Stegostoma tigrinum: one gene and its partners. The protein of the gene in region 4 interacts with the protein of the main gene of each other region in a pairwise test. Links are inferred from orthologs where the notes say so. Each region holds a gene or a part of one and is shown on either strand. Other genes may lie near its edges.

Evidence for each region.
Region 1: the proteins of ntaq1 (region 4) and capn3a interact in binary tests that used the Homo sapiens proteins (3 or more experiments, as listed by UniProt). The two-hybrid records come from large-scale screens. The link is inferred for Stegostoma tigrinum from reciprocal best matches to the Homo sapiens genes NTAQ1 and CAPN3.
Region 2: the proteins of ntaq1 (region 4) and tollip interact in binary tests that used the Homo sapiens proteins (3 or more experiments, as listed by UniProt). The two-hybrid records come from large-scale screens. The link is inferred for Stegostoma tigrinum from reciprocal best matches to the Homo sapiens genes NTAQ1 and TOLLIP.
Region 3: the proteins of ntaq1 (region 4) and cdr2a interact in binary tests that used the Homo sapiens proteins (3 or more experiments, as listed by UniProt). The two-hybrid records come from large-scale screens. The link is inferred for Stegostoma tigrinum from reciprocal best matches to the Homo sapiens genes NTAQ1 and CDR2.

Annotation. Positions count from the first base shown.
Region 1 is NC_081363.1:83,217,762-83,225,114, forward strand, and holds the start of capn3a (calpain-3), read right to left. Parts: upstream 3,031-7,353; 5' UTR 2,607-3,030; coding exon 2,370-2,606; intron 1-2,369. UniProt on the Homo sapiens protein: Calcium-regulated non-lysosomal thiol-protease. Proteolytically cleaves CTBP1 at 'His-409'. Mediates, with UTP25, the proteasome-independent degradation of p53/TP53.
Region 2 is NC_081370.1:25,089,669-25,096,945, forward strand, and holds the start of tollip (toll-interacting protein), read left to right. Parts: upstream 1-4,221; 5' UTR 4,222-4,356; coding exon 4,357-4,392; intron 4,393-7,277. UniProt on the Homo sapiens protein: Component of the signaling pathway of IL-1 and Toll-like receptors. Inhibits cell activation by microbial products. Recruits IRAK1 to the IL-1 receptor complex. Inhibits IRAK1 phosphorylation and kinase activity.
Region 3 is NC_081376.1:34,248,500-34,256,223, forward strand, and holds the start of cdr2a (cerebellar degeneration-related protein 2), read right to left. Parts: upstream 3,027-7,724; 5' UTR 2,849-3,026; coding exon 2,767-2,848; intron 1-2,766.
Region 4 is NC_081358.1:39,416,536-39,424,173, reverse strand, and holds the start of ntaq1 (protein N-terminal glutamine amidohydrolase), read right to left. Parts: upstream 3,050-7,638; 5' UTR 2,877-3,049; coding exon 2,782-2,876; intron 2,683-2,781; exon of another isoform or gene 2,331-2,682; intron 2,318-2,330; exon of another isoform or gene 2,202-2,317; intron 1,339-2,201; exon of another isoform or gene 838-1,338; intron 433-837; coding exon 333-432; intron 1-332. UniProt on the Homo sapiens protein: Mediates the side-chain deamidation of N-terminal glutamine residues to glutamate, an important step in N-end rule pathway of protein degradation.

The DNA of each region.
Region 1 (7,353 bases), on a different chromosome or scaffold from region 4:
CTCCTCATTCAAGTGGTTTCCCTCTACCACTCTAGACCAAGACGGCCTTGCAGATCGTAAACTAAAAGGAGCATGATGGCAGCAAATCTACAAAACAGTGACCAATAGTCCATAGAGCTAACACAACATGTTGAGCAGTGATGATGATCAATCACACAACAAAGAAGTAACTATGTTTCAGGGATAGTAGGTACTGCAGATGCTAGAGAATCTGAGATAAAAGGGTGTGGAGCTGGATGAACACAGCAGGCCAAGCAGCATCAGAGGTGCAAGGAAGGCTGATGTTTTGGGTTTAGACCCTTCTTCAGAAAAAATACGACTGAAAGAATTGCAAAATAATCTCCAATTCAATGTCCCATTTTTGTAGTTGTGAATACAATGTAATGGTTAGTGAATTTACTAATAAATTCTGTTTTCTCCTTTTATGGATCGTTTACATTCTGAATGCTGTAGCTGGAGCAATGAGTGGAATGCAGTGGAGGGGCAATTGCTGTTTTATTTCTGAAGAAGTGCCTAGGTCCGAAACGTCAGCCTTCCTGCTCCTCTGATGCTGCTTGGCCTGCTGCGTTCATCCAGCTCCACAATTTGTTATCAAAGAGGTAACTATGTTGTTTTTAAAGGTATAATGACAACAAACTACAGGGGAACGTTTATTCTCATTTTGATGAGAATGCATCAGGTGATAAGAAATTGATTCTGGTCTTGTCTACAATGTATCAAAATCACAAATTTTAACTACCTCCTAAATCCTGGGAGAATATTTCACAGAATCCATGTAGTGTGAAAGCAGGCCATTCAGCCCATCAAGTCCATCCAGAGAGCAACCCATCAAGACCCACACCCATACCCTGGAAGCCTGCATTTCCCATGGCTAACCCGACTAGCCTTTACATCCCTGGACACTCCAGGGCAATTTAGCACGGCCAATCCACCTAACCTGTACATCTTTGGACTGCGGGGGAAACCAGAGCACCCGGAAGAAACCCAAGCAGACATGGGGAGAATGTGCAAACTCCACACAGACAGTCAACTGAGGGTGGAATTGAACCCTGGACCCCTGGCACGTGAGGCAGCAATGTTAACCACTGACCCATCATGCCGCCCTAAGGATGGATTAAAATTTCAGAATCTAACTTTATTTTTGTCCCTTTCAAGTTTAAAGCACAGGGACTGGGGCACAGACTGGGCTTGCACAGAAGGCAAACAGGGACCTATTTAATGTGCAGTACATATACACATACTGGTGAAGGCCTGCGTAGTGGGATTTTTCAGCCACTGAGCCTAAGCAGAAGCTGCAAGTTCCCCAAAGTAAGCAGCCCGTCAGTATTATTGGATGCCAAGAAGTGAGGGAGTACTCCTACCTACCTATTCGAGGAACTCCCCAGCTTTCCCTGCTCCCAGTCACTACCTGGAGTTGATGCTCTCATCCTGACTGTGGCCCCTTGATGGTAGTGCTCCCTCCCACCAACCAACTGGACAGTCAATGTGGCCAATTGTCAGAGAGAATCACTCCTATTGAATACCAACATGAATCAGCCATTAGCAGGGACTCTATATCAAGGCCAAACAATCTGACAATAAAAACAGATGGGTAATAAAATCTGGAACCACAACGTAGCCAACTGCAGAGCTTACAAGATTGCATGATGATCATACTGAGACATATAAGATCCTGAGGGAGCTTGACAGACTAAATGCTGAAAGGAAATTTTCCCTAGTGGGAGAGACTATAACTAGAGGAACAGTTTAAAAATAATAGATTTCTGATTTAAGATGGAGATGAAGATTCTTTTCTTCCTGAAAGGGATGTACATCTTCAGAGCTCTCTTTCCCAGAAAACAGTCAAAGTGAGGTCCATTGAATATTTTTAAGGCCAAGTTGGAGAGATCCTTGATTAACAAGGGAGTCAGTAATAATTAGGGGTTTTGGAAATGTTGAGTTGAGGCCACAATTAGATCAGACATTACCTTATTGAATGGTACAGCAAGCTCGAGTGGTCAATTCCTACTCCTAAATTGTACGTTTATTGCAAGCCAGCCAAAATTTCACAGCAACCATGCTGCAAGTCATCCACATACATTAAAAGAAATGCAACAAGTTAACGGAAGTAATTATCAGACTAGGGAAATATTGCAAACTGATATAAGAAATAGAAACAGGAGGCTGTTCCACTGATCCAATATTCCACACATCCATTTTCCCACACATTCCCTGCAACTCTTGATTCCTCACCTGATCAAAAATCTATCAATCTCACCCTTAAATATATACAAGAAACACAAATCCCAAATCTCCATCACGCTACAGCAGGCCAGTATAAATGTATCCCACAGACTAAGCTACTATTGAATAAACAGTATGTCACTCACTGGGGGTCTTTTCCATTCCAGCTTGAAGGGCATACCCACAGAGTAAAAAAGTGAGGAGTCATTGGCAGGGAATTCCTCGTCTTCAAACAAGACACCTTTTCTCAGGCACTCGTCCTTCAGCTGCTGAAAGACCCCGCTCTTGGCATAGGTAATATCCTTGTTACGATTGATGATAGGATACAATGCAGCTTTGCCAGCCATTTTGGATTGGGTCTGGACTGGTCGTGATTCCTGCATCGAGTTGATGACATGAGGCACAGGAACACAATATTTCAAAACAGTGCAGTGAAAAAGAGATCTGTTAATAAGAGAAAGATATGCAGGCCACAGACACAGGAAGGAAACTACCTGGTTTCATAAAACAGGGAAACAGGTTAGTTACTTTTTCAGTTATAAACACTAGCAAAACATTTCAATCAGCTTCCTTGAGGTAAAAGGCAGAAATCATTTGGACAGACTACTCCACCAAACAACACGAGTGGCACCAGGGACTTCAAAAACGTTTTGGTTCCGGATTGCTCACAAGATTCAATGCTGTTTTGTATAACCTCAGTAAGCCTTCTCCACAGTCTTCCACATTGAAATTTTTTTTAAAAATCAAATAATCATCCACTTGTTGAACGATACGTCTGTTGGATTTTCCAGAATTGGCCTTGGCTCACTCTCCCAGGCTTCCCAGCTGTTCTGAGCTCAATGCAGAAATGAAACGAGCAAGATCAAATGCTAAAAATAATCTTAGACAGGCTGTATCTTGTGGCAACTGTATTTGTTTTTGCAGGCTCCTTACACAGGGACACATATACTCAGACACATCAGTGTTCATTTATCATTTTTATCCTGTTTTTCTCAACTTTTCTTCCTTCTCTTGAAGATGCTGTGGTCACAATATAACAGTAACTAACAACTATACAACATTTCTTTTAAGCAAGGATCAGTTAGAAATCATTCCATTTTACTAAATAATTAGGCTAAATAGTGGAATGGATGAGAGGATAAGTGTGGTGGATAACAGGGTGTGAGCATGAATGGGGAGGTAGTAGGGTGGGCAGTTTAATTAGGAGAAATGGAATGATGGATGAGTGCAGTGGGTAAGTGAGGTCGGATAAGTGAGGGGTGAAAGGCTGGGAGGGTGAGTGACAGATGAAAGGGATGAGAGGAGGATGAAAGGAGTATCTGAAGGTGAGACCATTTGGTATGGGGTGAAAAGGTGGAAGAGTAGTTTATTGGTGGTTAACGGGATTGAGACAGATTTCAAGAGGGTGAGAGGGGTGAGTAAGGACAGGTTGAATAGGTTAGTCAAGTGAGTAGGGGTTTTAAATGGTTGGGTTAGAATGAGTAGGTTGGGCTTGGAGGATGTGTGCAGTGGGTAGAAATACAATTCAGCCGGGTAAAAGGGTGAATGCTGAACATCAAAACAGCTGCCATATTCTATTAGTTCAGTGGATTCTCAGTATCATTCACTGAGGCATGTCAAGCACACATTCACACTTTATCGCTGATTCATTTTGTTCACTGACTCAGACTTTCACTCAGTGTCTCATTGTCATTCAGTAAACTCAACCTTTTGTCATCACAGTCTTATTCCCATATAAATTTACTCTCAATCTCACACAAATGTGATTTCATTCACTCATTTCTTCAATTATTACTCAAAATCTCACTCACTTTCACTGAATCACTTACTGACTCCTGCCTTTTCTCAATATCTCACCACTTCTACAGTCAGATTAATTGACTCTCTTATCGTCACTCGCTCCAGCTCATTCTCACATTGTCATTTTCCCTCAATCAATCACTTTCATATTCAATCACTCAGAAAGGGGATCTTGCCCACTGGTAGCAGGATTGGTGGGGAACCCTGCCAGTTCAGTAAGGGAAGCCCAGTAAAATCAAATAACCTTCAGGCACTTAGATGGCTACAGATAGGTCTTGACTGTATTTGAGGACCCTGATGGCAGAAATCCCACCTACAGAGACCTGCAGAGCTCCTGATGCCTCGAGCACCAGCAGGCGTGGTGGCTGCAACTGGAACTACACACACCCAGACCAAATATCAGAGAAGGTAGAACAGGATTTGCCAGGATGGATGAATGTTACACAGTAGCACAGGGTTTGGCTTTCAGCGGCCAGTATCCCCCATGGGAAACAAAGTAGGTGTTCAAGAAGGAGATAGACATAGTTCTGAGGACTAAAGGGATCAAGAAGTATGGGGAGCAAGCAGAAACTACCGAGTTGGATGATCAGCCACGATCAAATTGAGTGGCAAGTGGCCCAATGGCCTATTTGTGCCCCTAGTTTATTTCTATGGTGCCCCCTTTTCTAGGAGGCCTGAAATTTCTTTGGGTTGGCTGGGTGGACTTCACGTGATCTGGGAGAAAAATACGACCTCCATTCAATCCCTTAGCCACTATTAAACTGCAGCAGGCTCAGGAGCAACAGATGTCAATTGGCTTATTAATTAGGATAACTGACATTTTGCCACTGATGGCCACGAATGCTACCCTTTCTGTTCCCTCACTTAAATGGGGCAGATCTACCATTGTTTAGAGATTGACATGGAGCCTCTCCAAACATTAAGTGGGCTTTGCTACTATGTTTCTCACCCTGATGTGCAACATTAAATCCAACCAATATCGAGTCATGTGTCGTTTAGCACTCAAAGACAACAATGTGTGGAGCTGGAGGAACACAACAAGCTTGGCAGCATCAGAGGAACAGAAAAACTCACATCAGGATCTTTCTTCAACTTTCCTGCTCCTCTGATGCTGCCTGGCCTGCTGTGTTCCTCCAGCTCCACACTTTGTTAACTCTAACTCCAGTATCTGCAGTTCTTGCTATCTCTCTTTTACTACTCACTCTTGTTAAGTGACTCATCACACTTATCTCTGGAGAACATGAATGATACCTAGATCCCAGGGTGTGAACAAACTTGAGAACGTAGAAAAACGAGCTGGTACAGGTGATTTCACCATTCATGTCTGCTCTGCCACTCAAGTCCATGGTTGATCTTCCATCTAAACCCCATGTTCCTATACTGCTCACATGTCATGTAGTTCCCTCAGAACACAGAAATCCATCACTCTCCCTCTTGAACATATTTAACGACTAAGTTTTTTTAGTCAGTTTTGTGATATATCTCAATAAAACAAAGAATTGCAGATGCCAGAATTCTAAAATAAAAGCAGCATTTGTTGGAGAAACTCAACAGGTCTCAAAGCATCTTCGGAGAGAAAGCACACCAGTTTATACGTTAAGTCCTGTGACCTATTCTGAAGAAGGATCACTAGACTCGAAATGCCAATACTGCTTTATCTCTGCAGATGCTGCCAGAACTGCTGAGTTCTCCAGAAAATTCTGCATGAGCTACACCTCACTGGAGCAGCAGGATAAAAGTCAAGCCCTGCTATTCTCACAGTAGTCACAAAAGTTACAGATTTGAACAAGCAAATAGAATTCCCCAATTTACCTGTCATTTAGACCCGGGTTGGACAGGACAGTCCAGGTTAACAATCTTAACAATCATTACTATTTATTACAAATAGATATTGACAACAGATAAACAATTTGGAATCATCAGCATATAACTCTATTATTTAAAACTCTAACCCTCTTATAAACATTTCCACTACACACATACACAGACAGACACAAAAAAGGATGTTATGGGCATATGGAAAACTGAAAAAGCTGTTTAATAGTTCCTGCCCACTTCACCAGGCATGTTCTCTTGTTTGTTGGAGGAAAACTTACAATTTCTTAAAAGTAACAACTTAGAGCAATTGACAAGGGGAAATAAACTGATCATCTTCAGTCTTGAGATGCTTTCTACTCCAGAGCGAAAGGAGCTCCTCTTTCAGAGGTTTGATGATTTCTGGTCTGAACGTTCACACCCACAAACTGTTCAGCTACCTGGCAGTCAATCGCATAGTTACTGGGAGGCAGGAGGTGCCTGTCATCAATAACTAGTCAACATTCCACAGACCAATGAGGTATTTGTTGCCAGAAAAAAAAATCTCCATCCATACACAGCCCAGTGGTTCCAGCTTGTCGGCAACTAGATTTGCCCCACTGTTTCAACTGACAGCTGTGTAAACAGCACTTACAAAGAATGACAGGTAATATGCTTTTTAAAAGTGCAGTAATCCTTCAATAATTCTTGTATTTCCAAACAGACTTTTTCCTGTCTCATTCCACGCTCAAAAACACAGAAAAATATAAAGATGTAGCCTTTCTGACAAGATGGGAGCAGAGTAGGATGCTTCCACCCAGGGCTCACCTGCACTGCCTATTCTTTTTGAAAATTTTCTCGTCTCTCTTTTTAGCAGTCCTGGGCAGCATGTGGGGAAGCAGTCCCTGAGCAACATCAGGGGAAACAGGTCCCTGAGCAGCACTGAGGGGAGTGAGTCCCCAGTAGCAGGAGGGGAAATGGATTTCAGAGCAGCATGCAGGGAAACAGTCCCTGAGCAGCGCAAGAGGAGCGAGTCCCACAGTGATGTGAGGGTGATTGAGTCCTGGAGCAGCATGAGGGGAAACAGACCTGAGCGATGCAAGGGGAAATGAGTCCTGTTGCAGTACTGGGGAAAGCAAGTCCAAAAGCAGCACGATGGGAAGAAATCCTAGAGCAGTACGAGGGGAACAAATTCTGGAGCAATGCGAGGGCAAGTGAGTCCTGCAGCGGGGTGAGAGAAAGCAAGTCCTACAGCAACGCAACTTACCTTGGTGCAGCTGAGTGTGGAACACACTGGAGTCTTGCAGCAGAGCAGGACTGCTGTTGGACTGCAGCCTACTGTGGTTGGTCAGACCATATGCTGAGCCGCTGCTATTTAAAATTTCATCACCAGACTGTAATGTCAATCCCTTAACTATGTTATAAGTATCTTATTTCTAACTTATTTTGTAGACACGAAGTAATTCTACTGTTCTTCCTTTTATTCCTCTTTTGTATCCAGGATTTGTGCCTAGGTACCTGTACCGAAGATAGCAC
Region 2 (7,277 bases), on a different chromosome or scaffold from region 4:
ATTGTACATTTTGTACAAAAACAAAAAAAACTGAAAAACTCAGCAGGTCTGGCAGCATCCATGGACAGAAAGCAAATTAACATTTCAAGTCTGTTGACTTTTCTTCAGAACTCCAAAGTGCAAGTTGCTTTTGATGATGGTGCCGGATGAATGTTAAGATAATAATAAATATATTAGACAGCCATACCTGATCATTTTTGTTACTATCACTATTAGCTCTGACATTGCAAAACTGCCACAGCTGAGGGGCTGCCTGGATGATGTGTGACATAAGTGCGAGATTTCATGTACAAAAAAACTGAAAATAATGCCACATGATAGAGAAGTGATAGGCTATTCAGACCACTGGATTTGCTCCATCATTTGATCATGGCTGATATGTTTTTCAACCCCCTTCTCCTCCCATCTCCCAGTAACCTGTGATACCCTTACTAATCAAGAACCTATACATCTTTGTCTTAAACAGACACAATGACTTGACCTCCACAGTCTTCCAAGGCAATGAGTTCCACAGATTCACTACCCTGTGGGTGAAGAAATTCCATCTCATCTCAGTTCTAAAGGGTGATATTTTTAATCTGAGGCTGTGTCTTCAGGTCCTATTCTTTCCTCTTAGTGGAAACCACCTCCACATCCACTCTATCCAGCCCTCTCAGTATTCTGTAAATCTCAATAAGATTTTCACCTGCCATCCTTCGACACTCCATCAAGAACAGTGCCAGTGGTCTTAACCGCTCCTCACACCACTCCTCACCCTTCATCCCTGGGATGACTATTGAAAATGTCCTCTGGACCTCCTCCAAAGTCAGCACATCCTACCTTACATATGGAGCCCAAAAATGCTCACAATATTCTGAATGCAGTCTGACCAGAAGAACTTGGAAAGTCCAGTTATACAGCATCCTCAGTATAACTCTGCTCTTATATTCCAGCTCTTGCAATCAAGTGTTTGCCTTCCTAACTGCCAACTGAGCCTGCATGTTCTAGTTCAGAATCTTGAACTAGAACTCCTAAGTCCCTTTATGCTTCAGATTTCCAAAGCCTTTCCCCATTTGGAAAATCATCCACCTCCTATTCTTCCAACCAAAGTTCATGACCATACAGTACTCTTTCTGCCACTTCTTTGCCCATTCTCCTAGCTTTTCCAAGTCCTTCTGAGGCCTCCCCACTTCCTCTAATACACTTATCCCTCCACCTAGCTTTGTGTAATCTGCAAACATAGCAACAATTCTCACAGTTCCTACATCCAGATCATTAATGTATAACATGAATAGTTGTGGTCCCAACATTGACCATGCTGAACTCCATTAGTCACGGGATTCCATCCTGAAAAAGACCCCTTTAATCCCATTCTCTGCCCTTTGCCAGTCAGCCAAGCCTCTATCTATGCCACTTTCTTGCGCCTAACACCATGGGCTCTTCTCTTATTTAGCTGCTTTCTCTGCAGCACTTCATCAAAGGCCTTCTGGAAATCCAAATAGATCAGGTTCACTGGCACTCCTTTGGCAAAGTTGCTCATCACTTCCTCAAAGAATTTTTATAGATCTGTCAGGCATGAAGCCTTGATGAAAGCACTGGTGATTCAGTCCTATTTTATCATGCATTTCCAAGTACTCTCAACCTTAATAATGCTGGAAGGGTCACCAGACCCGGAACATTAACTCTGTTTTCTCCTCCACAGATACTGCCAGACCTGCTGCGCTTTTCCAGCAACCTTGTTTTTGTTCTTAATAATGCACTCTAAAATTTTACCAGTGACCGTTCTAAAGTTTCCTATTTTCTGCCTCCCTCTCTTAAACAGAGCCATTTTCCAGTCCTCTGGGACGCTTCCTGATTCCAATGATTCCCGAAAGATCACCACCAATGCCTTCACAATCTCAAGTATCTCCTTCAGAACTCTGGGGTGTAGTCCATTTGGTACGGATGATTTATCAATCTTCAGACCTTTCAACATCCCCAGCACCTTCTTCTTAGTGGTGGCCATGACACTCACCTCTGCCCCTTGACTATCCTGACGTTCTGGTATGTTACTGGTGTATTCCACAGTGAAGGCTTATGCAAAGTATCTATTCAGATACTCCACTATTTCTTGTTTCCTTTACTACTTCGCCAGTCTCATTTTTCAGTTATCCAATGTCTACACTTCACTCTGTTACCTTTCAAATATCGAATAAAACTCTTGCAATCCTCGTTTATATTACTAGCTAGCTTACCCTTATATTTCATCTTCTCCCTCTTTGTGTTTTTTAAGTCATCCCCTGCTGGTTTTTAAAGGCTTCACAATTCTCTAGTTTCCTACTAGTCTTCCCAACGCAGCACGTTTTTCTTTTGCTTTTATGCTGTCCCTGACTTACCCTGTTCGCCATGGTTGCCTCGTCCTTGCCTTAGTATGTTTCTTTCCTTGGGATGAAAATAGTGCAATCAACCAGTATTAGCAACCAGTTTCCAGAGAATGTTTACATCTGTGTAAATATTCAGTATGCCAATTAGTATTTTCAATTTTGAGTGCTGCCAGGACAATTTAGAACAGGACACGAAGCTATCGCCAAACATCATCATGCTGTCACAGCATGTCCTACTTCAAGATGGTGGAGACAGAGCAGGAACAGTTCGGGCTTGTTTGCTCCAGTTGCTTGTCTTTCTTTTTAATTTTCCTCATTTTTTTAAACTTACCTTCTTATTGAGAGCAGCAGCATCATTGGCGGCAATATGAGTTCAGTGCAGAAGCGTGACAAGTTTTTGGATTCTTGATGGTGGAAGCAAGTTTGGGCCCAATCCAAGACCCAGTAGCATCAGCGACTGCATCACCGAGTTTGGACTATGATGCAGACTTGGGTCAGCAGCCAGGTCAAGTTTGAGCCCGTACACTCAACTGCATTGGTGGTGGTTACATCATCGGCAAGGACTCATGGTGGCAGCAGCATTAGTAGAGGCAACATGGGGGTGAAGAATGGCAACTCTGTTCTAGTGGCGGCAATGCAGTAAAGGCAGACTGCTTCATTCTTGGATCAGTGATAATGGGAACTGCAGATGCTGGAGAATCCAAGATAATAAAATGTGAGACTGGATGAACACAGCAGGCCCAGCAGCATCTCAGGAGCACAAAAGCTGACGTTTCCGGCCTAGACCCTTCTCTAGGCCCGAAACGTCAGCTTTTGTGCTCCTGAGATGCTGCTGGGCCTGCTGTGTTCATCCAGCCTCACATTTTATCATCCTGCTTCATTCTTGTGTTGTTCTTAGCATCGGGGTGGGGCAAGTGCCCAGATCCAGGTCTATGCTAAGCTGAACATTTCTTTATTTTCTGCCTTCACTTTCTATGTTTTGGTTTATTTTCTGTGTTTCAAACTGGTGCTGGATAATGGCGACACTAAACAATTTTCACTGTATTTGTAACAATAATAAATCAAATCAAATTCATTAATAGTATTCCTTATTTTGCGCAGTTGAGCCAACACAGGCCACATGGATATGAAAAGCAATGAAGTGTTACCATATTATTATGTTTGAATGCATTACAACAATAGTGTGATACCACGACCATGGTAAATTTATTCTGAATTGCTTACACACGTCAAATTGTGAAAATATTGACTGGTAAAACCTTTGCCTTGTTAAAATGCATAAATTATTTTTCATGCTGAGTACGTTATGCACTCCCACGCCGTCTGTCCCTGGAACCACAGTTATCCCACCTTTAAACCTACCTCTTTGGGAAAGCTTTGCGTTACTCGTTGCTAACGTCGCCGATCGTGACAACTTTATATATCTTAAATTTCTAAACAGGTTTGAATATTTCCTGTAAAAACACGGTATGACCAGTCGGACAAAAGTTGTACCCTAGCCTCAACCCGGGTGCAAAGGAAGCGAGGAAAAGGCTGGCAGTGACAGACTTCGGATACAGATGCAGAAAATGCTAGAAACACTGAGCCGCGTCCAGAAAAACTGATCAACATCCATTCCGTGGAAGCGGGAAGAGGCTGCCACCTATCAGCGAGCTCAGATCTACCTTCTCCAGAATTAACCGATCACAGGGCCCAGAATACCAGAGCCGGTGAAGGAGCAGCCTATCGTAGCTTTGTGATTGCAGGCTGTACCCCGAAAAAGCCAATCGTAGCGCTTATGGGTGTAGACCCTTCCCAGGAGCAGCCAATCGTGGAGGCCCGCACGCCGGCACTGCGCGAGAATTAACCGATGGCAAGGCACTGAGCTCATTTCCCACCCCTTCCTCCAGCCAATGAGCAGGAGTCGTGAGCGGCCCTTAGCCCAGTTGATGTTCCGCCGCCCAGAGAAGGAGCTGTGAACGGCTGTAGGGGTAGTGGCAGTGGTGGACGAGAGTGTGGCTTGGCTGGATTGGACATGGCGGCTACAACCGTCTCCACCCAGAGGGGCCCGGTAGGTTTCCTCTTCTTATTTTCCAGTTATGGGTGATGTGAGACTACGATCTCTGCGGAGTGTGCGGCCTTGTCAGGGAGTAGGTGTACTGACTGAGCTCTTGGGCTTGGCTGCGCCAGATCCTACCCGCAGCTGGCTGCCGTCCCCGTGTCTTGTCCCGTCCTTCCTGTTTTTGTAATGCTCCTTTTTTAAAAAAAAAGTTCATCTTGGAATATACAGACAGAAAGATCCTGAGGATGTTTACTGTCTTCTGATATGTCTTAAGAACGTTTAAAGGGCCAATCAGGAAAATAACTGGACAGATTGCTTCAGAAACATTTCCATCAGTATAGGATAGTTACGTAGAGATATTAGGAACTGCTGATGCTGGAGAACCTGCGATAACAAGGTGTAGAGCTGGATGAACACAGCAGACTTATGTTTCGGGTCTGGACCCTTCTTCAGGGTCTAGGCCCGAAACGTCAGCTTTCGTGCCCCTCTGATGCTGCTTGGCCTGCTGTGTTCATCCAGCTCTACACCTTGTTATCTAGGACAGTTACGTAGCGTCTCGATGACGGTGATCCCACTGTTTGGAAATAGAATTCGCTTATCCTGACGTTCTTGAGTGTTTATCATGTTGGTAATGTGCCGAATAGATAAAAAGCATCTGTTGTAGGGTTGCCAACGTTGGGTGTATTCCTCGTGGTTTCATCACACAAGTCCTACCTTGTAACATCCCAAGTTCTACCAAAACACACTGTCCCGTGCTGATGATATTGGTTGCCCAATTTATTAGTCCTCGTTGCGCACTGCCTTCCGAGATTAATTGGAAAGTGAGCAATGTTAATCACCGTATTATGTGATTCTTGACTGTTCGAGAATCTCAGGAAGCTCATGGTGTGGAAAGTCATTAGGTTTATTAGTTTCTGAAACAGCTATTTGAGCACTTTATCTTCGTGTCAATCTCCTTTCTTTTGGTACATTGTTTCTGTTTAAATAATTGTCCGACGCTCTCTTGAATACTTCCATTACTGGACAATGCGTTCCAGACTCCACCTACTAACTACTTGAGGGGGAAAAAAGTTCCCTGCATTTTCTTCTTTTGCAAGCCATTTTGAAACCATGCCAGCTGATTCTTGATCCTTCTGGAAGTGGGGACAGTTGCTTCCGATCCACCCTGTCTCGACCCCTCATGGTTATCAAAACTATTAAATCTCCTCTTAGCCTTCTCTCCAAAGAAAACAGTCCCAATGTCTTCATTGCCTCCCCAAAACTGAAGTGTTTCATCCCTGAAACCATTTTTTTTTTGCAAACCTCTTCAGTCTTTCTGGTATATTCACAGCCTTCCTATGGTGTGGCACATGGAGCTTGTATACTCCAAGTGACATCCGAGTACCAAGGAATGACCATCTCTAAGGAGAGAGAATCTAACATTGACGTTCAGTGGCGTAGCCATTACTGAAACACTCAATCAACATCTTGGGGGTTACCATTGATCAGAAACTGACGTGGACTAGTCATATAAGTATAGCAGCTGGGTCAGGAGCTGGGAATCCTGCAGTGTGTAACTCGCCTTGTAACTGCCTAAAGCCTTTCCACCATCTCCAAGGCAAAGTCAGGGAATTCTTCTCACTTCCCTTGATGATTGCAGCGCCAACACTCAGGCTTGATACCATCCAGGACAAAGCAGTCCACTTGAATTGGCATCATTTTCACAATCATTCAGTCCTTCCACCAATGACGCTTAGCAGCAATGTGTAATATTTACAAGATGGTCTGCAGGAATTCACCAAGGCTCCTAAGACTGAACCTTTCAAACCTATACTCGCTAACATCTAGAAGGACAAGGGTAGTGGACATGTAGGAACACCATCTCCAAGCCACTTTCCATCCAGACTTGGAAATATATTGCCATTCCTTCAGTGTCATTGTTTCTAAATCCTGAAACTCTCTCCCTAATGGCATTGTGGGTGTGGCTTCTCCATACAGACAGCAGTGGACACATTTATACTTTGTCTCCATGTTCTTTGTGCCAGAATGTATCACTTCACACCTGTATGTTGAATTTCATCTTCCGACCATCATTCCAATCAAGAACTTTCAATGGTTTACGAAGCCAGAACACAAGCATATAGTTCAAGATACCACAGGATTTAAACTTGTACATCGCCACAAAGCTGCCTTGCCTTGACCTCAGCAGGCTTGTTTTCCACCGCCTTCAAGCTGTATTTCCGTTCATAGACTGCTTTTTTCCAGTGATATTGCCAAAAGACTCACCATCAGCAGCGACCCTCATGGGATGTCGAACAGCTCCCCAGATGGATTATTCTAGACAAGGGGGTGACGTTTCTGTGACGTGTTGTCCTGTGGGTGAATTCATCCATGATCCCATTTCTTGGGCATTGTTCAGGGTTGTTTTGGAGTTGGAAGTTTCAATTCATCCTGCCGAAGAACGCATTCCATTCACACCTCTCGATTGCAAGCACTTTGAGCACATTAGAAATTGGAAATTTGGAAAATTTTGCCACCTTGGTTTTTTTTTTTTGACGCCATGCCCTGTTTTAATGGTGTATCTACCGCTATGTTGTTGCATCGTATCGCTAACTCTAAGAAAGTGTGTAAAGTGATGCTGCGAATGCCTTTAATTTCCTTCTTTGCCTTGACCTCAGCATGTCAACTGCTCAAAGCATTATTGCTAAGATTCGGAATTCCGTGTCGACTTTTAACCTTTTGAGACGTTTTTGTTATCCGTTTGACTGACTTGCAAAAATGTCCTTCAGTCTCCTTTTTGTTTTAAAATGGTAAATGTTTGAATCTGTTTTTTAAAAGTAACGATTTTGTTTTTTTTTGAAAGCTGTACTACAAAAATGCAGTGTCCTATCATTCAGTATATATTGATGCAAAAT
Region 3 (7,724 bases), on a different chromosome or scaffold from region 4:
ATTGATTTCAACAGCATGGGACAGTGAATCCAATAACTACAGCACTGAAGGCAGACAGGCAATCAGGTCACTAGAGAAAAGGTTGGTAAAAGGGCAAAACAAAAACAAAAATATGATAAGCCTGAAAGAGAAACAGAGCACGCTGGAAGTGCCATGCAGCATCTGTGGAGAAACTGCAAGACGTGAAATTTAACTCTCATTTCTCTAATATTGTCTGATGTGGTGAGTGTTTCAAACATCGTTCAGTAACAGCACACAAACAAAATTAAGTTAAATGCAGGGTAAATTACAACTCCCAGTCTCTTACAACATTACTCCACATACATTTCACTTGAATTTTAGCCAGTGCTTTTGGCTGATCTAAGATACAAAAAGACAGAATCAGAGACTGTTGGTCCTGCCCACTGACTCAACCAGATTACCACTTAAAAATGATTTTCTTGGAGGGTTTGTAAACTGCTGTATCAGGATCACCATAAATTTAGGAAACAAATGTGGCCTGGCTTTGTGCAGCTAGTTTAACCCCACCCCACAAAACAAAAATTCTATATTCCTCTGTTAGCATCACATATTGCCAGTTTTTCAATGGCTTTTTAATTGTTTTGCCTGATTGTTGCTTGGACGTCTACAGTGAAGAGTCCTTGATTTCCTTTAGACCGTGGAGTCTCCTGATTTAATCTCATTTCATTGTCTGATTCAATAGGAGGATGCAACAAAGAAAATGGGAACCCATGTTGATAATACTGCTGAGTGCTTCAAAGAGCATCTTTTTCTTATTATTCAGCAGATTTTAATGCTGTGTCCTAGTTGGAACTGAAGCTGTCCTTCCAATTCCAATCTCTCAAAAGTCTTTTATGACATCTTTAAATGAGTTTCTGTGTGTATTCCAGAGCAAGTAAAAAACACATTTGTTTCCATATTGTCTCTGAGACACTGGGGAAAGCAAGTTAGGCAAATATCAGCCTGGGACCCACTCCAAATGATGGGCTGGCCCTACCCCACAGCTTGTCCATATGAGGACCTCAATTTCTCACCAGCCTGGTGGACTAATTCCCATCAGCCAAGTTCATTTTTAATGATAAACCATGTCACCGGGAGTTCCGAGGAGGGGGTCTAAAGTCACAATCTTTGGATGGATGGATGGACAAAAATCAGTTAAACGGAAGGACACAGCCTGAACAACAGATTATGAGCAGTGGACACATCCAGAGATGCCCCTCGTTGTTAGTACTATATTACTCCCAAGGCGCATGTAGATATTACAGCATGAAACATACTTAAATCGTTGTCCATATCTTCCAAGTATCAAGTGTTTCCGTTCGAAATATCCCAAAGAGGCAGGTTCAGATTTGTGTAGCGGCTTAGCATTGTCAAAACACTCGTGATAAACCCGTCTAGATATTGTAAGGTTTCTACTTTCTGCACAAAGGTGAAGAGGAGGCTTAAGAGGATTTTCCTGATAATGAGGAGGAGATTTGATGGAGTAAATAAAAGGAGAGATGATTTCTAGTGGCAAGAGGGCCGATTAGTAAAGGGCAGTTTTAGGATAATTAACAAAGCAGCTCTGTGTCCCGTCCCCCCCGAAGCAGAAACAAAAGGAGATTCTACTCTAGAAGGGCAATTTGAAATTCCGGAAAGGGAGAAACGTGTAAGGTTATGAAGGGAACATGGGAGTGACACAACTTGTTCTTACAAAGAGCCAGCACAGAAGCGAGGGGCCAAGTAGCCTCTCCGCCAGCCTGAACTCCCACCTCAGAGTCCAGTTGGAGGCAAACTGCCAGTTCTCTTAATCCAAGCGGAAGCCAACTTTTCCTCGTTAAATAACGGGTTGGGATTCAGATAAAGCTCCAGGGGAGGGAGGGAAGGGATGGTTTTCGATTAGAGCAGATCAGCCTCTCACTAGGACAAGGTTTCTATGGCGACAGCTCTCGCCAGGGCAAGCCACTGAGAAAAGGCGCGCTGTGTAAGAGAGAGAGAGACACACCACACAAGGAGACGGAGGCAGAAACAGAGACAGCCACAGACACAGACACAGCAAGGGAAGCGGGAAAGGGGCCGGAGATCTGCGGGATAGCCAGGCCACGCCAAACACTGAGGTCAATGCCGGACTCCCGGCGACAGAGCCACTAACCAATCCCCACCCCGGCCTCTACAGCAGTCTGAAACGAAATTCGCCAGATATGGTGTTTGTCTCGCAAACGTACAAGTAAAATTTATTTTCAAAATAAATTTCGAATGGGAGCTGTGGTGAATGAGAAGGGAACTCGATGGATATCTCAAGAAGAGCCAGTAAAGACACGGTTGGCCGAATGGCCTCCTGATGCTCTGCACACGTCGACTGCGGTAAACTCCACTGCTCAGGAAATAACACCTTTATCAATGTTCACAGGCTGTAATTAACAAACAACTTACTTGGCCTTTGCGAATAAGAAACACAGACATTGTGCTCGTCTCTTTCACAAAAGCCGAGTCAACTGGGTGGGAACAGCGCTATTATTTCCCTCCGTCCCGGTTCAGGCTAGACACAGATTAAAGGAGAAAGATTCTTAAGAACAGTGCCGATGCAAGGTCACAAATTTATAGCATTGAGCGCTTCTTTCTCTCCAGATGATGTCTGGTTCCATTATTTTGTTTTTCATTTCAGATCTCCCTCATCAGCTGTATCTACCAGCAAGGCAAGGATAAAACTGGCAGCGTGCAATCTATTTTCTTGGTGCTTGTCAACCAACTCCAACCTGGAGAAGCGCCTTTAAACTTTAAACTCACCGTGCTCCATATTCTGCTGTTGCTGGTACCACGGTTCCTCCTCCCGGCGTTCAAAATCCTCTATTATGCTGTCAGTTAACATCTTGCTTTTTTTTTGTTAGGAAGAAAAGTACCGGCTTGGAAAAAAGCTCAATAACGTAACTGTACCCCGGCTGCGGCTGCTGATGAGCTTGGACATTCATAACATTTATTCCATGCCTCTATAAAACTAACGCAACGTGGCACTATGTGCCTATAAGCCAGCTCCTAATGCACTACAAACGCGGGGATTCCGCCCGGCCACCAGGGCCCCGCCCCTTTCATTGTAACAATTCAAATGACAACCAATCACTGCGTCCGCACTGCCACCGTGACCGGTAGTGCCCTTTTTTGGAAAGCGTGAATCTGATTCAAGATCTTCAGCCAGACCCAGCCGCGCGTTCATCCTGAAACTGGAAACATTAACCTTGCTTCAGTGGCCACAGATGCTGCCAGACTTGCTGGGTATCTCCAGCATTTTCTGTGTTTTTTTTTCAGATCTCCAGCATTTGCAGTATTTTGATTTTATTAGAATAAAATAAAGAACTGCAGACGCTAAAAATCTGAAACAAAAGCAGACATTCTTCAGAACCTTCAACGAAGGGGCACTGGGACTTTGCTTTCGCTCCACAGTTGCTGCCAGACATGCTGAGTTTCTCCAGCAATTTCTATTTTTGCTTTTATTAGATCCTACACTAACGTTGTTAATTATTTCATTGTGGTGGAGCCGTATAATCATGGATCCAGCTGTTGTGGTGTTGGTTGATGTCTTGGACCCTTCTTCAGACAGGACATTAAATCACAGCCTTACCTACTTTCTCAAATTGGTGCAAAATTCCCAAGGCCATCTTTTGATGAAAAGCAGAAAGGATTCCCACCCTATATCCTCTTTAAAAATTCATTTCAGGACGTCACTGACTAGGTCAGCGTTTGACCTTGAAACCCTTATCTCCAAGAAGATGCCTTCTTGAACCACTGCTGTCCAATTAGTGTAGCTACACCCAAGGGCTGTTCTGAAGGGAGTTCCAAGATTTTGACCCAGCGACAGAGGGAATGATAATATTTTAAAATCAGGGTAATGTTGATTGGAAGGAATTTACAGATGATGCTGTACCCGTGTACCTTTGTTGCCCTTTTCTCTGTAGATGGTAGAGGTCACAGGTCAGAAGGCACTGTCAAATGAGACTGTGTGGTTGGCTGCATGTATCACTGCGGCATACCTCACCGCAGTGAGCTGAAAGTGTTCGAAGTGAATGTTTAAGTGGAGGATGGGGTGCTGATTATGCATTTGCTAGATTGGATTCAAGGGTTTTTTTAACCAGTGCTTGGGAAACAGACATTGCTTAGTGGGTAGCACTCCTTCTTCTAAGACTTTTCAAGTCCCACTCCAGAGTATGAGTTGACTTTGTATATGTCAAGGTCTGGTAAGGCAACAAGGCTGCTACTTAGAGATAGCAAGAACTGCAGACGCTGGAGTCAGACACCACACAGTGTGGAACTGGAAGGACGCAGCAGGCCAGGCAGCAGCAGAGGAACAGGAAAGTTGACATTTTGGGTCAGGACCCTTCTTCAGACAGGACATTAAATCACAGCCTTACCTACTTTCTCAAATTGGTGCAAAATTCCCAATGCCATCTTTTGATGAAAAACAGAAAGGATTCCCACCCTATATCCTCTTCAGTCTCCCCAATCTCACCCCCAATGTAATTGCTCAGCCAATATCATCAAAACCATACTGGTACCTACAGAAACTCGTCACACTGGAATGTGAGGTACTACATTTTTGTATGGCAAATCATGGCTGGACTTGAAACACATAATGGTAAGGTCCTGGAGATTGTTGCTGAATGAGGTAGACAGAGTAGTGAGGAAGGCATTTGGTACACTTTCCTTTATTGGTCAGTGCATTAGGTATAGGAGTTGGACAGTCATGTTCTACAGTGAACGACATTAGTTAGGCCATATTTGGAATAGTGCATTCAATTCTGGTCTCCCTGCAATAGGAAACATGCTGTGAAATTTGAAAGGGTTCAGAAAGATTTACAGGGAAGTTGTCAGGGTAGGAGGGTTTGAGCTGTAGGTAGGGCCTGAATGGTAGGGCCTGAATGGGCTGGGACTATTTTCCCTGGAGTCGGAGGCTAAGGAGTGACAACAAGAAATTTATAAAATCATGAGGAGCATGGATAAGATGAACATTTAAGGTCTTTTCCCCAGGTTAGGGGAGTTCAAAACTAGAGAGCATAGGTTTAAGTGAGAGGGAAAAATTTAAAGGGACCTAAGGGGCAACTCTTTCATGCAGAGGGTGGTGTGTGCAAGGAAGGGTCTGTTTCTGTGCATGGAAATAACTGCCAGAAGAAGTGGTGGAGGCTGGTCCAATTACTATATTTAAAAGGCATCTGAATGGGTAAAGGAAGAGGAAGGGTTTAGAGGGAATTGGGCCAAATGCTGGCAAATGGGACTCCATTAATTTAAGATATCTGGTTAGCTTTAACGAGTTGCACTGAAGGGCCTGTTTCTGTGCTGTACATCTCTATGACCTGATGATACCCACCTGCCTGTGATGTCAGGTTTAACTGGAGCCTTGCATTTTTAAACATGAGCATTTCTCTTTGAACAAGTGGTCAAAGGAACTTACAATAGAAAAAGTTGCCAAAAGAGTACACAGCATTAAGATTTTAAACATTATGGTATTTATATTTTTTTGCATGGGATATCAGGATCATTATTAATGTTTTGAGTTTTGAATCACACAGTTCTGTCTCCTAGTGCCTGAAAAGTAGGAGTATTAACCTTGGCGATGTTATAATTTCCTGCTTGAATGAAATATTTCACTCTGCTTAGTTAGTTTGGCTAGAATAAGTGAATCTGTGTAGAGTTACTCATCGTTTCCACATTCACTAATGTCAAAATCATCATCCATTGACAAGAAATGGAGCAGCATTTATTTGCACAGTGTGCAGGTTGGCATCTTAAACTTTACAAGGGAGCAGTGAGACCCAAGCCATAGAATTATTTTAATCAATTTTCTTTTTAACATAGCAACAAACATACATTGTAACCCAAGCATAAATAAAGTCATGCTTTAAATTCTGCAACATTTTACACAATTTACTGTTGATTGTAACCAGAATGCATTAATATCTGGGTGTTAACAAAACAATATGTCCAGTCCCTTTATTCATCCTCTCAAACTTGCATCTTTTAATATGAAGAATATATCCCTTGGCCCCCAATTTGTGTAATACCAATCCATGCCAGAGCATCCTAGCTCTGAAATCAAGTACCACAAGAAACCATAGCTTGTCTTCTTTCGGATACCAACTGACCTGTTTTATATTTGCAGCATTTTCTAGAAATTTTCATTTGTCCTAATACTGTCAGCCTAGTTTCACTGGACTTTGACCTTGTGTCTTGCTATGAATATGAGATCCTATTCCCCCACAGACGGCTTCACAATGTTATTCAGTCAATCTTTCTCTCCACCCGCACCCAACTCAACCCCTGCTTTCTGTTGAATTATCATTGAACGAGACTACAAGTAGTTTTCATTCATTTTAGCTTTCTTTAATTCACAGTACACTACTGAGTTTTATCAGTAGCGCTGATGTGGATGACTATGGAAGCACTGGTACCCCAGGAGCAAAAGAAAAGTGAATTGAAAAATGAAACAAAATAGTCATAATATCTGCAAGACAGTGAATTGTCTTCTTCAAAGCCACAAAGCAATGAACTAGTTTATCCCATGCTTAGACTTAGTTTTAAGCATGATCAATCTCTACTGATAGCTCAGTGGATTAAAGCTAAAGTGCTCCTGAACCTTTACAGAACTTTACACTTATATAGCACCCTTTACATCACCAGAACATTCCAAAGCTATCCATAGCCAACCAACTGCCTTTAAATGCTACCACTGTTGTTAATTAGGCAAACACAGTAGTCAATTGCACAAACTCTCTCAAAAACAACTATATTACCGACCATGAGTACTTTTAATTATGCTAGTTGTGGAATGGATATTGACTATGACAAACTGTCCTGCTTATTTTCAAGTGGCATCATGGAGTCAGTTACATCCACCAGAAAAGGAAGGCAGGGCTGTGGTTTATCATCTTATCGAAAAGTGCAGCTCTTCTTCAATACTGCCCTGGGAACATCAATATTAATTCTGTGCATAGGCAGGACTTGAACCTGCAACCATCTGATTCAGACAATGATAACCCACTCAGAGATAGTAAGAACTGCCGATGCTGGAGTCAGAGATAACACAGTGAGGAGCTGCAGGAACACAGCAGGCCAGGCAGCATCAGAGGAGCAGGAAAGCAGACATTTCAGATCAGGACCCTTCTTCAGAACTGGAGGAGGGGAAGATGGCTCTGAAATAAATAGGTGGGGGATTGCCTGGGGAAGGTAGGTGGAATGGTGATAGCAGGTAGATAGTGGTGGGGAGTGGTCAGTGAGGTGGGATGAATGGATTGGTGGGAGAGAAGATGGACAGGTCAAGAAGGTGGGGATGAGGGAGAGGGTTGATCTTGGGATGAGGCCGGAGTGGGGAGATTTTGAAGCTAGTAGAGTTCACATTGATTTGTAGGCTTCCAAGGTGGAATATGAGGTGCTGCTCCTCCAGTTTCCGGATGGCATCATTGTGACACTGGAGGAGGCCCAGGATGGACGTGTCGTACAGGGAGTGGGAGGGGGAGTTGAAGTGTTTTGCAATTGTAAGGTGTGGTCATTTGTCGTGACCTTAGCACAGGTGCTCTACAAAGCAGTTTCCAAGCTTCCACTTGGTGTCACCAATGTAGAGGAGGCCACACTAGCTTTACTAGCTTCAAAATCTCCGCACCCCTGGCCTCACCCAAAGTCCAACCCTCCCTCTCATCCCCGCCTCCTTGACCTATCAGTCTTCTCTCCCGCCTATCCGCTCCTGCCACCTCACTGACCAG
Region 4 (7,638 bases):
TGAAACTTGAGGAGAAACCTTTCATGCATCGAGTGGTTAAGATCTGGAATTGGCGGCCTGACAGCATGGTGGAGGCAAGGTCAATTGAGTCATTCAACAGGAAACTGGATTATTATCTGAAAAGGAAGGTTGTGCAAGTACAGGGTGAAGGTTGGTGGGTAACATGAGATATACTGATTAACTGGACAGCCTCAGCAGACAGAATGGGCTAAAAGATGTCCTTTGATATTGCAACAGTTCTGTGATTCTATGATACAGACAAAGCAGGAATTTGGTGAAATTCTTGTACCTTGAATTAATAAAACGTACATTCAATTGTAGATTGCACTTACCATCTTTTGGTCATTTGACACGAAAACAGTGTACCATTCTTCCAGAGGATATTGTCTTCTGTTCCTTATGTATTCACAAAGCTTCCATATATTTTCTTCACTAAGAACATATTTTAATATAAATGTGAACATTTATTGCAAAAATATTCACTTTTTTGTCTAAATCAAATGCTACAATATTCTGGGCACCGCTTTTGGGCATAGAGGCGTGAATGATGTATGTATGTTGCGCGGTGGAGTTGGAAAAGTCAGGACTATCCTCTTTAGAACAGAGATGGCTAAATATACAGTTAATACTATGGCTACAAAAGCAGGTCAGAGGCTGGAAATTCTGCAGCAAATCATTCACTTTCAAGCTGCTCAAAGCCTGTCCACCATTAACATGGCACGTCGAGAGTGTGGTGAACACTCATCACTTACCTGGCTTGGTGCAGCTCCAACAACACTAAAGAAGCTTACACAATCCACAGCAAAGCAGCCGCTTGATTAATATCACATCCATTACCTTTAAAGTTCATTCTCTTCACCACTGATGCACAGCAGCAGTGTGTACCACCAATAAATGCACTACAACTAGTCACCAGGCTCCTTTGGCAGCACCTTCCAAATCCACAAACTCTCCCACTTGAAATGACGAGGGCAACAGTTGCTTGGGAATACTACTACCTGCAAGTTCCAATCCAAGCCACTTAGCTTCTGACAGGAAACAATAACACTGTTTCTTCAAAGTTGCTGAGTCAAAATACCGGAACTGTACCCACAAACCAAGCAATGCAGCAGGTCAAGGAAGTGGCTCACTACCGCTTACTCAAAATGAAATTAAGGATGGACAACAAATGCTGGCCATCCCCATGATCGAATTCAAAAAATGACTTTTAAGATGATGAGGTTTTGGGATGGTCAATAAAAATATTATTGTTTCTGAGAAGTGAGTCAATAGCCGGAGGTTGTAGATTTAAACTTATTAGTTAATGAGGCAGAGGGGCATGAGGAAGATATTTCTACTCGCACAGCTGTCAGATTCTGTAATGCTGAACCACAGAAAGGATTCCAAAACTAATTTTTAAAATGAGATTTTGACATGTACCTAGTGATGAGGAATTTACAGGGTTACAGACAAAAAAAAACTCGGCTGTAGGACCAAGCAGAATACTTTTTAGAAGAACAAGCACAAACAACGACAAGCTGAATGGGCTCCTTCAGTTCTGCAATATTCTACAATTACAAGTACAAACTAAGTTTTGTATTCTTTTTATTTTTTGAAATCTGCTCTCATGGCTGGACTTGGACTGTAGAGGTTCTAGTGCTCTTTTGATACCTCATTTTTCTGGCCTTTGTAGGAAGGTAGAAAGATGCCAGAAGTGTACTAAACCCAAGGGTCACAGAGTTGAGCCTGGACCTGTCTTTCCACATGGAAGAAAATGAAATATGCTGCTTGGGAGCGGAGACTCAAAAGAAAAATAATACAACTTGTCTGCAAAATGGAATTTACAGTCTATTAGAGTATTGCTGAAAGCAGTTAAATATTTTCAATCATACTTTAACTGCTAACAATATAACTTATATAGCTTGATCAATGCTGATTACACTTTAGCAGCATTAAAAGCCAGGTTGACAATAAATAACTGTTTAGTCCTAAAAGTAAATTATGAACAATCCTTCAAAAGAAAAAGTACATTTGTGCAATTATATTGCATATTCCTAATTTCAGCTCAAAACAAGTGCTATTTGAATAGAAGGATCTACACTGACATAGCAGAACAAAACCATGTGAAAATCCTCCATTGATTCGTCGGAGAGCAACCCTGTAGGGGAAGGCAGGTGCAGACAAGTACAAATAAACTGTTGTTGTAAGTTTTAAGTACTAACCTTCACAAAATAAAATCGCTTAAGATGTGATTATTAAATAAAATTTGAAACTGAGCACCCAGTGAAAAAAATAGAACAGGTGACCAAAGTCCTGATCAAAGAGGTAGGTTTTAAAGGAGAGAAGCATACGTTTTGGGAAGCGATTCCAGAATATAGGGCCCAAACAGCTGGCCTTCCCCCTAAAAGGAGAAATAAATCCAAAGCTGTCAAGATCAGGTGATTGGGAGAAGGTAACGTTTAGGGACTATTCCAGCAAAGGAGGCCATTCAGTTCGATATATCTCGGCCGGCAATTTTGAATAAAACTGCCCAATCAATCCCACTCTCTTCCTCTGTTGTAGCGTTGCAAATTATCCTTAGAAATGTTTGTCCAATCCCTTACTGAAAGTCCCTACAGTATTTGAATCAGCTTCCGCTGCGCTTTCAGCCAGTGCACGTCAGATCACAGTAGTGATTTTCCTTTTAAAAAATACACTGATAACACAACTTCCGTTTAATTTATGGAAAACGTCGCACAATTTGTGGGACTTACACCCCCATTAAATAACTGAGACCATTTTTTCCCAGTAAGGCCTGCTTACCAATAACAGCTGGTGTACACACAATCCTCCTTTCGAATGGCTGAGATCTGGCTCTTACCTCCTGGGTCTAACCTCTCAGGGTTTGGGATACTCATAACAACTTCGCAACAACGACAAATTAGAAACTAAATTGCAGGATACCTAAATTTTCATTCATAATACTAAACAGCGAATTCATTCAAACAAAACTGGCTCAAGGTAAGAACCAATGGGATTACAACCTTAGGAACCATTCATCGGGGATTAGGACCAAAACAGGAAGCCGGAAGGAATAGCAGGTGCACACGGAAGAAGACTGCCTCGCTTTCTTTGACGTTTGGGATACTGCCGCCTGCGTGCGCAACCTCCGCTGCCTCAACGAAGTGTTTTAATACGTTGACGCGTAAAGCTGTCATGTTAAAACCTGTCTTTCGTAACAGTGTGAAATAATTATGCACTTTCTTCAATTAGCAATATGAATTGTATTAGGTTGATATGGGGAGTAGGCGTTGAATTCATTCACGTTTTCCTTCAATTGTTGCTTTTAACTCTATGGATATCCTGGTCATGTCTCTACCTCTGGCCTGGAAAATTTGGTTGTAGTCACACCTGAAGCTATGTGTTCGTGGACGTGTGCCAGCAGGTTCATAATCTCCCCTTCCCCTACTGCATCCCTAAACCAGCCCAGTTCATCCCCTCCCCCCACTGCACCACACAACCAGCCCAGCTCTTCCCCTCCACCCACTGCATCCCAAAACCAGTCCAACCTGTCTCTGCCTCCCTAACCGGTTCTTCCTCTCACTCATCCCTTCCTCCCACCCCAAGCCGCACCCCCAGCTACCTACTAACCTCATCCCACCTCCTTGACCTGTCCGTCTTCCCTGGACTGACCTATCCCCTCCCTACCTCCCCACCTACACCCTCTCCACCTATCTTCTTTACTCTCCATCTTCGGTCCGCCTCCCCCTCTCTCCCTATTTATTCCAGTTCCCTCCCCCCATCCCCCTCTCTGATGAAGGGTCTAGGCCCGAAACGTCAGCTTTTGTGCTCCTGAGATGCTGCTTGGCCTGCTGTGTTCATCCAGCCTCACATTTTATTATCTTGGAATCTCCAGCATCTGCAGTTCCCATTATCTCTCATAATTTACAACTCGGTTTGTGGTGCAGCAGTTTTGTGCCTGACGCAGTGTCAAAAAGTTGTGTGTTCAAATCACGACATTGAGAAATTTTGAGACTATAGGGTTAGCTGATCTTGTGTTACAGCGATGGTGTCCCTTCCTTTGAACCCAGTGGTGTGCTTGTAGATGTCTGCAGATTTCTAGTTGAAGATTAGTTTTCTCATGAAGACTGTCAAAGAAACAATTGGACCCCAGGCAGACATGTCTAAGATACTGAAACCAAAGAGAAAGTAAATTGAAACAAAAAGGAGTAGCACTGAACAAACATAGGTATTTAAGAAAATTGGAAGTTTGATGTCAACTAATGTGAAGTGATAGGTTTTGAACATGAAGAGGAGAGAAAGATGGAGAGGTTTATATAATGTAGGAATTGCAGCAGTCAATTTGGATATAGCAAAATCTTTAAACAATGTTATAATAACTGCAAAATCTGTTTTAGTGATGTTAGTGGAGAGATAAGTATCCGTCATTAATTCCACACACCCCTACAAAATAGTGCAAGGGTGAGCATTTACATTTAACTGGAGCATAGATGAGACCATTGTATGATGAAGATAGTCAACCAGTGCAGTAGTGTGGAGGTAGAACATAGAAAAGTACAGCACAGTACAGGCCCTTTGGCCCATGATATTGTGCCGTGGAATAATCCTAAGCAAAAATAGAATAACCGAACCTCCATTCCCCTCAATTTACTGCTGTCCACGTGCATGTCCAGCAGTCACTTAAATGTCACTAATGACTCCGCTTCCACGACTACCACTGGTAAACTATTCCATGCGCTCACAACTCTCTGGGTGAAGAACCTCCCTCTGACGTCTCCTCTATACCTTCCTCCTAACACCTTAAAACTATGACCCCTCGTGGCAGTCAATCCTGCCCTGGGGAAAGGTACTGAGATTACATGTTCATTCTCCTGCAGTGGGACTCTGTGTTAGACAGGATGACTACAGCAAACCTTTTATTAATGGACACTTATGGGATCAGGAGCGTGTGAGTTGACTAAATATTCCAGTTGATCAAGAGGTCCACATAATCAATATAAAAACTCTCACTAATTAATAGAAATGTAATGCGGCGGTATACACATCGCTGTTCTACTTATTTGCAGCATAAATCACTTAAATAATAATGCAACTTTGCCTGAAATAAACCTTACTGGCAGAGAGCCCTCTCACACCCTGAACTGACTGACTACTCAGAGATTGTGATAATTCAGTAAACTTCCTATATTTGAGGTATATAATTCTTAGTGGTTTATCAAAAATGCTGGCCATAAGGTATCGGTTAAAACAAAGTTTGCAGTAATATTTTGACTATTAGTAAAAAAAGGGCATCAACTGGACTTATTGAAAAGGGACAGTCAAAAGATTGTGGGTGTAAGAATTAAAAGGTACAATATACCTTAAAAATTGGACAGCTTCAGGTACCCAGTACCACTGAATTATACAGTACAGGAAGCTATTCAGCTCATTCTACTACTGCAGTCCCTTTGAAGCACCTATACAAATTATTCTCATTAAGTTGTTCCCCTTAGCTCTGCAAATTTTTCTTCAAAGTATTTATTCAATTCCTTGTGAATCTAGCTATTGAATTCCACCATTACACACCTATTCCACCTTTTTAGGAAAATCAAGAGCTCCCTAAAAGAACACTTGGGATATGTGTGAAATTGCCTCTACTGTATAACTTAATAAAATTATGAAGATTGGGGAGAACCTTTCTCATTGGAGGGTAGGAGGTTGAGAAGTGACCTTATAGAAGTTTATAAAATAATGAGTGGTATAGATAGAGTTAATGGTGGTTGTCTTTCCCTCAGATGGAGGATTTCGCGTCTCGGGGGCACATTTTTAGGAGACAGAGAAATTTTAAAAAGTCACACAGAGTAGTTTGGGTGTGGAATGAACTTCCAGAGGAAGTAGTGGATATGGGTACAATTGCGACGTTTAAAAGGTTTTTGAATAAGTACATGACTAGGAAAGGTTTGGAGGGATATGGGCCAGGAACAGGCAGGTGGGACTAGTTTAGTTTGGGATTATGTTTAGCATGAATTGGTTGGACCAAAGGTCTGTTTCTGGCTGTGCGACTCTATGACTATGAGTCTATTTATGGAAATATGATCACTGGCAAGTCCAGTGTTTGTTACCCCTCCCAAATGTCCTTGAGAAGGTGACAGTAAGCTGTCTTCTTGATCACTGAGTGGCATGGAATGCCATATCGGAATCCAGTTAAAAATCAACCACATCATTATGGATCTGGAGTCACATGAAGCTCAGACAGTGTAAGGATAGCAGATTTCCTTTCTTGAAAGACAAGGTAAAATAGATTTTTTAGAAAAGCTATCAAATAGTTCCAAGGTCACCATTACTCAGACTTTTTATTTTCACAGTTCCATTTAATATTTATTTGTCCCTACCACTGGACAGAGAGGCTTGTGTTCAAGACCCACCTATTCCAGAGATGCATAATAACATCTCTGAACAAGTTGATTAGAAAACTGTGTGACAATACCATGGCCTTGGGTGTATTTTCTCCTTCTTGTGAAGAGAGGTGTTGAGCCATAGGCACCAAGCTGTCTCCTCCAAGCCAATAAAGTGTACAGGTTGTGAGGACGTGGGGATTTTTAAAAAGTTGAAAAATAGAGTCAGCATGAACAGGGGAGTCAGGCTCCCATAGAACTTCAATACACAAACATTACATTGACTCTAAACGTGCAAATATTCAACACTACAGTCCATTTCAATCAGTTTCTTCTGCCAACAAACACCTTCATTTTCTTTCGTTAAACTTGTGACAACGCATCAGCAATTACATTCTCTCGTCATACCATGCATATAATCTTTAAATTAAGTGGCTTTAACAACAAATTCCATGTTGGCAATATTGTATTTCTCTGTTTTTATTTTTCCAAAAAACATTAAGGGTTTATGATCAGTATATACAATTGTCTCAGGCGCATTACTGGGAACATAAATGTTGAAATGTTGCACCATCAAACTCAAGGTCTCCTTCTCAATTGTGGAACATTTCTGAGAAGGACATGGAGCCTTTTTCATTTCATGTGAGAAAGTAGCTAAACAAATGAGATGGTTGGTGATCATGCTGATATTGTTGATTCAAACCACATTTGTCGGTGAAATAACTCCACGAGGACCAGTATCCCATCACCAAGTCACCTTTTACTTACATGTGCGTAGCATATGACACTGGCCCAGCTAGCACAGAGCTGGTTCCTGTAGTATAAAACTAAAGGTTTTTAAAAATGAAGCCACCTATGTTTATTGATAGTTCATTTTTCTTTTAAGGGGTAGGGGAAGGTGTAATGATATTATGGCTTTAAGAGGAGCATTTTGCCCTGTGTCTTTTTGAAGAGAGGTTTTGAGTATCGATGAAAAACTGCCTCCTCCAGGCTAATAAAATAAATAGTCATGAGGCCTTGGGATTTTTTAAACGTTAGTATAATGGAAGCAACATGAATGGGTGGAATCAGGTTCCTACGGAACCAGAGTTTTATTTTCACTCAGCAGTTGTTGGGGTTTGCAGTTGACTGTGGAAACTGTTACATCTGTTATGGACCAAATATTAAGATAGCTGAGACCCTAACTTGTTACTTTAAAAGTAAGAGGCATTGTGTTCTAGATGTAATTTGATTGGTCAAAATTACTCAACTTTAAGCAAAATAAACTTTATTTTTGAACCAGAGT